Drosophila melanogaster: one gene and its partner. The protein of the gene in region 2 interacts with the protein of the main gene of each other region in a pairwise test. Each region holds a gene or a part of one and is shown on either strand. Other genes may lie near its edges.

Region 1 (3,538 bases), on a different chromosome or scaffold from region 2:
CGCGTTGGAAATGAAATGAAATTGCGAACAACGAAACGGTGCGATGACGATCCGATACGAAGTGCTTCATTTTATTTAGTTAATTCTTAGCACATATGTATAGACAGATATATATGCACCGACGACTATATACACTCGACTTTGCCCGTGTGTGTGTGTGTATCGTTTTCATTTTCACGGAACAAATATGGCTGCAGCACATTTTTTTTACGTTTTTTATTCACTTTTTTCACGTTCATATAGCTCGTTTTTTCACCCAAAGTAATGCTGACTGGCCGATTGAGGGTTCGTGGATTTGGATTCCGTTTGCGTTGCGTTTGCTGGCTGCCTTTTGGGTTTCGAAGTGCGTGATTACGCCATTTTCTTTACTCGTTCGCTTTTCGCTGCACGCCCATCTTTCGAATTACCTTTTTTCAATACGATTTGATCGATCGGTGGATCTCTTAACTCGCTGCACACGCGTACACTGGGTCGAAACGGTGGCTGATTGGGCTCTCCAATCAATTTATTGACTATTCCGTTGAGGGGTTTTCTTTAAATGCAAGTACGCAAAACTCACGGGTTTTCACCGACACACGAATCCGTCTTCCTCGACTTTGCATCAGTGTGACCGTGGCGTGCAACGACGATGGCCAAACATCGATAGTCTGGGACTTTGCTACTATCGAAGTTATTTTATACATATTCGATACCTTCTGTCCCTGCATATGGTTTTTAAAGGATATAATTACCACACCGTTGTAATTATTGTAATCTTTCCAATTATGTACAAGCCGTGGTAGTCTTTAATTGCCAACATAACATAAATGTTCACCTAATAGCAACGGAAACAATTTCAAAGGTAACAAGAGAATACATATCTCTCGCTTCGAAAGTATTCGATAAATACGTCGGTGAAGCGGATGCTTAAACCAACTACCCAAACATCAAACAACTTCAATAATTATAATAATATTATAATAATTAATTGTTCGTGTTAGAATTAGCGTTAAAATAAATTTATCTTTTGGAGTCATTTGTTTCAATTAGAGAACGCATATTTCAGTTTTTGAAAATAAAGAATGAATGCCCCTATCAATAGTTATAGCGGACTAACAGCTGAAAACACCTGAAGTTTACAGAGCCCAAAATGTTTACGTGATGTCATTTTATGCATAAATATATTTATTGTATGGAGTACAATTTCATTACATTATAATTTAACTTTCCATTTATACGCTGATGATTAGAATACAGATATAAATGTGCAGATAATTCAGCAATAGTCGCGATGCACCATGCCATTTAGTCGGTTGGGTTTTGGATGACAATCAGGATGAAGTCCTTGTCGGGTGCCACCATGATCTCGTGCTTCTTGGATCGCACCCGCAGGAATGTCATGTCGTTGGAAGGATCCAAGTCCCTCACCACACTTCGTGCCTTGTCCGCCAGCTGACTCATTAGGCCAGCGTACTGAACGGTGGTAGTGTTGTCCAGCGTGGATTTGACCGGAATACCTATTTGGGAGGCGTTGAGAATTAGTTAGATATCTTAGCACACACTGGGGTGCAGTTGAACCACCCACCTTCATTGTTGACCACAATTGTACCCACAACACCTTTGTGGCTCTGGATTCTCTTGAGTGTTTCCTCAACCTCCTGCGACTGTAAGCCATGAAGGTAACGTTATTTTCTTAATGTTTTTGTGTATGCACAACTCTTACTTACCATTTTTTCTTATAATTTTGTTGGAAACACGGCAGACACTACCGCTACCTGCAGTTCAATGAAATAGTAAACTTTGTTTGTTCAATATTAGAGATGCACTGTCAGTGATGGCACATTGTTCATTGTTAATTTAACAGATTTCCACATAAGTTAACAGAAAATATCGATATGAAGTTTTCAATGAGAAAAAAATTTGCAACGGTAATTATCAAAATATTTGTGATTGAATAATTTAATAAGTTTATTATTTACTAACAATACATTAATAACAACTACACAGAATTGTTTAATCTGGCATATTGACCCATATAGCAACACGCACCTTGGAAACCAAGAAAACAAAAAAAATTAGGTTAAAAATTCACGAAACCGTTACTACGAAGTTCAAGGTGTTTCAAAGCAGACGAGAAATATGTTTCCGGATCTTCCACAAAAGGTAAAATATTTCCATATTGAATGTAATTATATTTATTTATAGGTTACATCATTAAATAGCCACCTCGAACTCTACGATATGTGGAAAAAGCATTCGACCTGGTCAAATCGAAAAAACATGTTCGAGATGTAGTGATCCTCAACGAGTCGGGACATCCGGTGATGAGTACGATGGACCGAGAGGATGCTGTCCAATTTTCGGGACCTTTTCAGGCTATTCGAGGAAGACTGGAACGCGGTATGAGTAAAATAGATCCCACGGACGAACTACTAATGCTGAGAATACGCACAAGAACCAACGAGGTGCTCCTGGTGCCAGACTCCAAGATAACACTACTCGTAGTACAGAACGCGCATGATTACTTCGAAAAATGATTAAATATTTTAGATTTCTCAAAGACAATTTCTTATTCGTTAGCGTATGTTACTTTATTATTAAAACATGTACCAATCACTCGTATGTCAGTAATTGGTATTTACACGTGCTTTTACATTTTTAAGGCATTTAAATATTTTAAGATGACGTATTTAACGAATATAGCAAGGAAAGAATCCAATCCGTGTGCCTCATAACATTCGTAAAAACGAGTATGTTTTTCGATGAAAAACTGAAAATGCCCACCAAAATGTAGCGTATCTGGCCATTGGCATTCATCCCTCCAACCACTATGTAGCTACGTTTCTGGCGGGGATTACTTGTGTCGGATGGATCTACCATGCACACTTGATTTTCGTTGATTTGAAATCCGAGATGTTTCGCGCATTGGCTCCCTTCCATTAGCCTGACGTCGAATTGTTCAGCTAAATCTGTATCAATTATTTTCAATTCTCGAGCCTTTTCGGCGTTTTGCTGGTATATTTGCGTTGTCAAAATGCAGATGGGTTTCATTGCTGTAAAAGAATATAACTGTAAATCGAGGCAATTGCTATGATAGTAGGTATGTTCTACCTGTGCTGCTTATTGATCGAACAAGTTTGAGTACTGCTATGTCATTTCGGTAATCATTCGTAGTAAAATTTGGGTGCTTTGAAACCGATTCAATTTGGTTGATTGCGCTTATTCCTTCGAGCACTACGAACACGTATCTGAATAATTAATTTAAAATGGTATCAAAATAAACTAGTAACTAATGTGAAAAATAGCAGTTAATGCACAAGGGATAATCCTTCGAACAACTTACAAATAGGCGGCAACTGTGGGCAGGTCTGTGGCAGCAGCGATGATCAATTCTAAGAAAAGAAACTCAATCTTGTTAAATTTATACTCATTTAATTGTGGAATTCTCGAGTGAAAGAGTATACTTACGATCTGTTATTAATACGCCAACGGCATAAGAACCAGGCCAATAAATTCTTAGCTGCGCGATCGGTGCCGCGATATCCTGACTGCAGCTATT
Region 2 (6,288 bases):
CAATACATTTGGTCTTTTTATTCGCCGAACAAAGGAATAAATACTTTCACTCGATGTGTGTACGATCAAAGCGGAAATAATGCGAAAGCCAGATTAAGCTGAAATCGCTATATATAATAGATGGTTAGACAGATAGCCAGACTGCATTAGAAATCAATTTATTGCGACTTTGCCAACACAAGACATGCGAAAAAAAGGGGGGGGGGGAAAAAACATGGCGTACCGAACAAGACGAAAATACAACGCAGGCAGAACAAATTCCGTGATATTCGACTGGCAGGATACCTATTAATTTTTATGGCATAGCCCTAAGTCTTAAAAGGAACAAATATTCGGTAATACCAGTTATATAGTTTTGGAAACTTTTATATCACTTACAACTAAATTTGTTTATTTATTATTTTTTTATTTATTTTATTTATCGGTGAAAATATTGCACATGTTTTGAGTTCTTATTTTTGCAAATCATCGATAGATAAATAAATTATTATTTATTATTATTTATCCTGAACTGCATACTTCAACAAGATATAGCATAACCTTTAGATATTATCAGTTTATTATTTTATTTATATTTATATTTATTTCCGTTCATATATCTTAAGTAAAAGCCTGAAAGGCAATCAGAATGCACTTAGTTTAGCATTTGGAAAGTGCTTAGTACAGAAGCATTTTAAAACATATAAAAGGATTTTTTTTTGTAAATGTTCCAAGTGGTTTCGTTTTAAGAGGTATTAAAACTTAATAACCCATTAACTGGATATGAAAGCGAATATGTTTTTTTAAGTGAAAGAGTAAGCCCATGGATATGCACTTTTGCAACTGGCGGGACAGGAATGCAGTGCAAAAATATATATATATATATATACTCACTATAAATCGCAAAGATTAAGTACTGAGGCAGAGGATAAATAAAACAAAAAAAAACGGCAAATAAGAAAGAAGAGCATGTTGCAGTTCTATTTCTAGTTGTTTGGCGCTTTCCAACTGACTCTTCCTCTTGCTCGGCGATCTATAAATGTACTTTGCGGAACCGAAAAGCGTCACCATTAGCATCGCATGTACGATTCCGAGTGCTACGGGTAGTACATCTCATGTGAGATACATCCTACGTGCGGCATTTCTGGCATTTGTTTTCGATTTCCTCGCGATCTATTTGCGGGGGGGGGGGGGGGGGAGGGGTGGATGGACAAATTTAGCCAAACATCTCGATAGCAGGTGCTACCAACAGGCAGATTGATGATGGCCCAAAAGGCTCCTAGCCACTTTTGCCATAATCCCATGCTGCCGAACATGTACAACGATATTTGCCATCATTGGATTTTCAATTCAAAAAAAAGATACAAAATCTTTAGCTCAATCCTTATAAAATTGGCAGTTTTCTAATAAAAATAGGGTTATTAAGGCATTATTGTTTTTAATTTTATTGATTTAAAGATGATTTCAACTAAGTTTACATTGCAGTCTTTTATTTTTGTTAGATATTTTGGTAACTTCATATTGAAACAATATCTCAATTTGTTGAAATTGCCATTTCACTGTACATCGCATAGATGAACACTTTGATGTTTGATTACACTTGCCTAATTCGTTTAATTTATGGCTTATACACATTTTAGTGACAATTAATTGGTCACACATTTTATGACAGCAATCCCACATAGCTTGTTCTCTTTTTCAGCCCATGTCTATTTCTATCGCTACTTTGAATTGAGATCGTTTTTTTTCTCGTTGTTAGTTTAATTTTTTTGCAAGTTAAAACAATAGTAGTGATGTTGCTTAAATTTTACTTTAATTGCTATTGATTTTCTATTGTTGAAGGGTTGTGCTTTTAACTATGTTTTCGAATACCCGAAATGGTGAAAGTATCTTTGTATCTTTGAATGTTACATTATCTAGTAAAAAGTCTGAAATGCCAGGTCCTATTTGCTTGTAATAAACAATTGCGATATATGTTGCTATACCTATTTTAGTTAATTGTTCCGCATACTTTATGGACTCTCTTCTTCGCTCAATTCTTCTGAAGAATCTCCCATATGAGTTCTTCGCTCTTTCGCAGTTTTCGCTTTTACTTTCGCTGTGCAAAAACGAGGAAAAGCATTTTCAAAAGACGTCAAAAATGTTTTTGATGCTTTTTCGAAATTCGAAAAACCGCTCGCCTTCGTGTGAAATTTATGGCACACTAGAAATTTCGTTTGGTTGTGTTGAAAATTGTGAGGGGGCATATTTCGAAATTGGCAGACACGTAGAGATAATTGAAAGAAGAGGAAAATGATGATCTGGGCCTGTGCCTCAACACGGATACAGATGCAGATGAACACAAGATACAGATACAAGATACAGCAGTATTGCTGCCAAGTTAGCCTCTCTCTCACACAGATGGACTTCGAATTTTCCCGTGAAAATCATCGACACGTATGTGTGTGTGTGTGTGTGCGTGTGTGCTTGTGAGTTCAGAAATCGGAATTGAAAATATTCTGCGCTGCCTTTCACATTTCAGTAGTTTCCGTTATTGCGTTCGCCTCGTCGAGTTAGCTCCTTTGAATTTTTTCCTGTGTCGCGCTGACGGTAAAAATCATAACAAAAAATAATCATTGCTCAAAAGAGCATTCGAATGTACCAAAAAAAAAAAATTTTTTAAAATTCCCGCACCTTGTGTTTGAAGTGGCTAATAAAAAACGAAATAATTATATTACGGTACAACATAGAAGCAACAACGAAAAAAATTGTCAGCAATTTATGCGTGGAAAATAGCTGAGGAAAATCGCAGACAACGACTCGTGAGCGCTTACGTCATGCGAAAAAATTTATCTCATACATCGGATTATATATCTATATCTATATGGCACATGTGGGCTAAAGACGAAAGCCAATAATAAACATATTATGTATCGAGCGAAAAAAGAAGTCAATTGAAATAATTGAAAAGCCATCGATTCCAGCTGACCTTCAGCCAATGACATTTCAATTTTCAAATCCATATCTAATGGCCATTATTCGGTATTTAAAAATCTAGCACTTTAGCATAAAACTTCACTGGAAACGCATTGTTTATTGAGTCGCATAAACAAATCGGATAGCTTTCATTTTTCAAATGAATAAAAATGGCTATCAATCTCTTTAATATACATTTAGATTTTCTACCAAAATTTAGATGATTCAAACTTAGTAGTATGTTACAAAGAATTCCTTAAATAGTAATCGAAAATTTATTTTTACAAAGTTAAGATAAATTACCAAACATTTTCAATTTTAAAAAATATCTTTAGAAACAGGTTTTATAATATTTTAGCATATTACCCGTATTTAAATGCCTAAAAAAGTACACGGAAATCTGTAAGAAAGTTGGCTGATTTCGTTTTGTCTTCGATCAGGCGGCATTAAACCTTTGGGCCAATTAGGCAATAATTAATGTGACTTCGGTATTGCCAAATGCTGGCACATTATGACAGCCGGTTTGAAATCTTTAAAAATTGTATAATTAAACTGCGGCAGCGTCGAAGGGATAGATACATATGCAAATACATGAACGACAGCCCCAAAAATACATATTTCAAGCAAGCGTTAACCTGTGAAGAATAAACTGAATAAACTGAAGTGCCAACGAATTTATGGTCGAATCTCTGTCCGTTCGCAATCTAAATTTATCATCTTGCCCAATTGAATGTGGGATTAGTCTTGTTAAAGGCCGCAATGGCCATTAAATTGAGTTATTGACATCGAATTGGCTTAGCCGGAAATCGAATTGGAAATGAACAGATCGGCAATCGAATCGGTTTATTTAGTTAATGATACACAAATGGCCGAATGAGGAAGTACAGTGTGCTTCCAAGTAGTTTACTTAAGTCAAATCATATATTTTGTAATCAATTTTGACTTTTACATTACACTAAAATATTTCAATAATTTAATAATGTTATAAAATTTGTTTGCAAATTATTTTTATTAACTTGTAGTGAAGTAGTTCGCCATTAAAGTCAAAACTAGCGATGACTGTGCCATTTAGATAAAGATATTTATGTGTACATCCGAATACAGCGTAATTACGATTAAAATATGAGAGCCTAAACGAACCGAAGGAAACAATTAAGCTAAAAGCAGCGGAAAAGCGCCGGAAAATAAGCAAACCAAAAATTCAAACCGAAGGTTTTCTTCGTGTATTGTGATTTTTTGTTTTTTTTTTTTTTTGTTTATTTTGTTTGTTTGTTTGAGTGAGTGACTGCTGCAAAATGCCTCTGTATTCGGATTCAACCAACTACTACTATAGTGGCGGCAGCAGTCAGCTGTATTCGCCGTACTATAGTTCCGGCTTGGGTCTCAACTTGGGCATGGGATCCTCACCAGGATCGAGCTATACATCTAGCTACAATCGCTCATATCCGGCCAGCTATATGGTACCCCTGAGTCCCTCCTCGCCGAGATCACCGAGCAGTTATTCCAGTGGCAGCTCCGGCGGCAGTAGCTCCCTCCATGGCCTGGGCTCCAGATATCAACCCAAACTGACCACGATTACGGAAACGGGTCGGCACAGTGGTCATAGCAGCCTAATGCCTCTGACCAGGATTAACTCACCGAAATACAGCAGCTCGGTGACCACACCGAGTTATGGTTCATCGGGCGCCAGTAGTCGGTACATACCAGCCAGACCCATTGCCATCAATACGGCGGATATCGATGTGAGCTCCTCGCGATATCGCAGGGCAGTGCCATCCAAGTCGCAGGAAAAGGAGCAGCCCAAGGAGGAGGTGAAGCAAAAGGAACAGAAGGAGCAGGCGGAGGAGGAGGTTAAGCCTTCTCCCAAGGAAACACCATGCGAAAGTTCAGATGCAAGTGCCGAAACCAGACCCAATCGTAGGTCAACCATTAGAAGAAATCGTCCGGTGGTTAGATTATCCACCATACGAAGACGCAGCAAGGATCGCAGTGCCGAGAGTCCCAAGAAGGAGCAAGTGCAGGAGCATCAATTCAGGGATCTGCCACCTGCCACCGAGCCCAGTTTGAGTTGGCGTCAAAAGTTGGCCGAAGAATTGGCAGCCTTTCCAGTAACCAGCAATAAAAAGTCACCCGGCGAATTGCTTCGCGAGAGATTCTATATAAAAGATGAGAAGGAGGAACTAACCAATTTCAATAGAGCCCAAATCCAAGAGCTTGTTCAACCACAAAGTGCTCATAAAACTTTGACTCCGGAAGTGGAGATAAGTGCCAAAAAGGAAGTGGATGACGAAAAGGAGGATGAGTCCGATAAACAGGAACAGGAATTGGAGGAAATGCAGGAGACCATTCGTCGTTTGAGTTTGGTCCAATGTCCAACATTTCATGACATTTGCGAGGATATTTCATCCGATAAAATTGATGATGATCTGAATGCCGGAGAACTCAGACGTAGGGCCTCTATTATTCAGGAGCAAGAACAGGAAATCTTAAATAAGTTGCAGAAGTCAAACTCCGGCAGCTTTCAGTTGATCCACCTGGAACGTAGATCCAGTCACGATAGTACCACCACTAACGATGAAGATCTGAAGGAGAGATCGAAAAGGCGGTCCAAGAAGAGTAAAAAGATGCGCCATAAGATCACCGCCATTGTTGAGGTGGAAAATGCTCCCCAAGCTCAGCCAGTAGAGCATATGCCTAGTGTTTTGGAGTTGAATGAGGAGTCCCTATTAATACAACCATTGACTTCCGGTTCCGGTTCGAGTTCCACTCCAACTCCCAGTCCGAAACCGAAATTCACCGTTAATGTAGAGACTGTGGAGGAGCATCATCAGATACACAAGATATTCAAGCTGCCCAAGAAAAAGACAGTGCCCAAGGATCAGGATGATTCGTCTTTGCCCGAAGGATTCATGAAAGCTGCGCCCAAAACAACCAAGACATCGCCTTTGAAGAAAGTAAATAAGCAGCAACATGTTAATGAGGCACAGATTTTCACCTTTGATGAGGCAGCCATACAACAGCAGCAACAAGTGCAGCAGCAGCAGCAGCAACCGGAACTACCTAAAACCGAGGCCAAAGTCGAGGGCGTGGCTACGCCCAAGCCCATTCGTAAGGCTATACAGAAATCGGAGAGCGGCGAGGACTTTTGGTCACAGATCGGTTCTAGGGAAACGCTATACATGACCAATCGCAAAAAGGTCTTTAACATGCGGCAAGAGCAACAGGAGCAACTCCTGGAGGAGGAACCGCCTAAATCACCAGCAATGCCAAAGGAAACAAAGACAGATTTAAAGACACCAACAACTCCCAAGCTCAAATCGGAAATTCTCATCGAGCTGAAGACAACACCTTCGA

Evidence for each region.
Region 1: the proteins of Pkcdelta (region 2) and robl interact in a two-hybrid assay, tested with the Drosophila melanogaster proteins (one large-scale study listed by BioGRID).

Annotation. Positions count from the first base shown.
Region 1 is NT_033778.4:17,454,742-17,458,279, reverse strand, and holds robl (roadblock), read right to left. Parts: upstream 1,809-3,538; 5' UTR 1,710-1,808; coding exon 1,707-1,709; intron 1,644-1,706; coding exon 1,565-1,643; intron 1,497-1,564; coding exon 1,285-1,496; 3' UTR 1,151-1,284; downstream 1-1,150. Other genes in the region: robls54B (roadblock similar 54B), read left to right, coding at 2,119-2,142, 2,202-2,516; CG10764 (uncharacterized protein), read right to left, coding at 2,656-3,032, 3,091-3,227, 3,323-3,371, 3,448-3,538.
Region 2 is NC_004354.4:12,438,969-12,445,256, forward strand, and holds the start of Pkcdelta (protein kinase C delta), read left to right. Parts: upstream 1-2,515; 5' UTR 2,516-2,568; intron 2,569-4,038; 5' UTR 4,039-4,229; coding exon 4,230-6,288.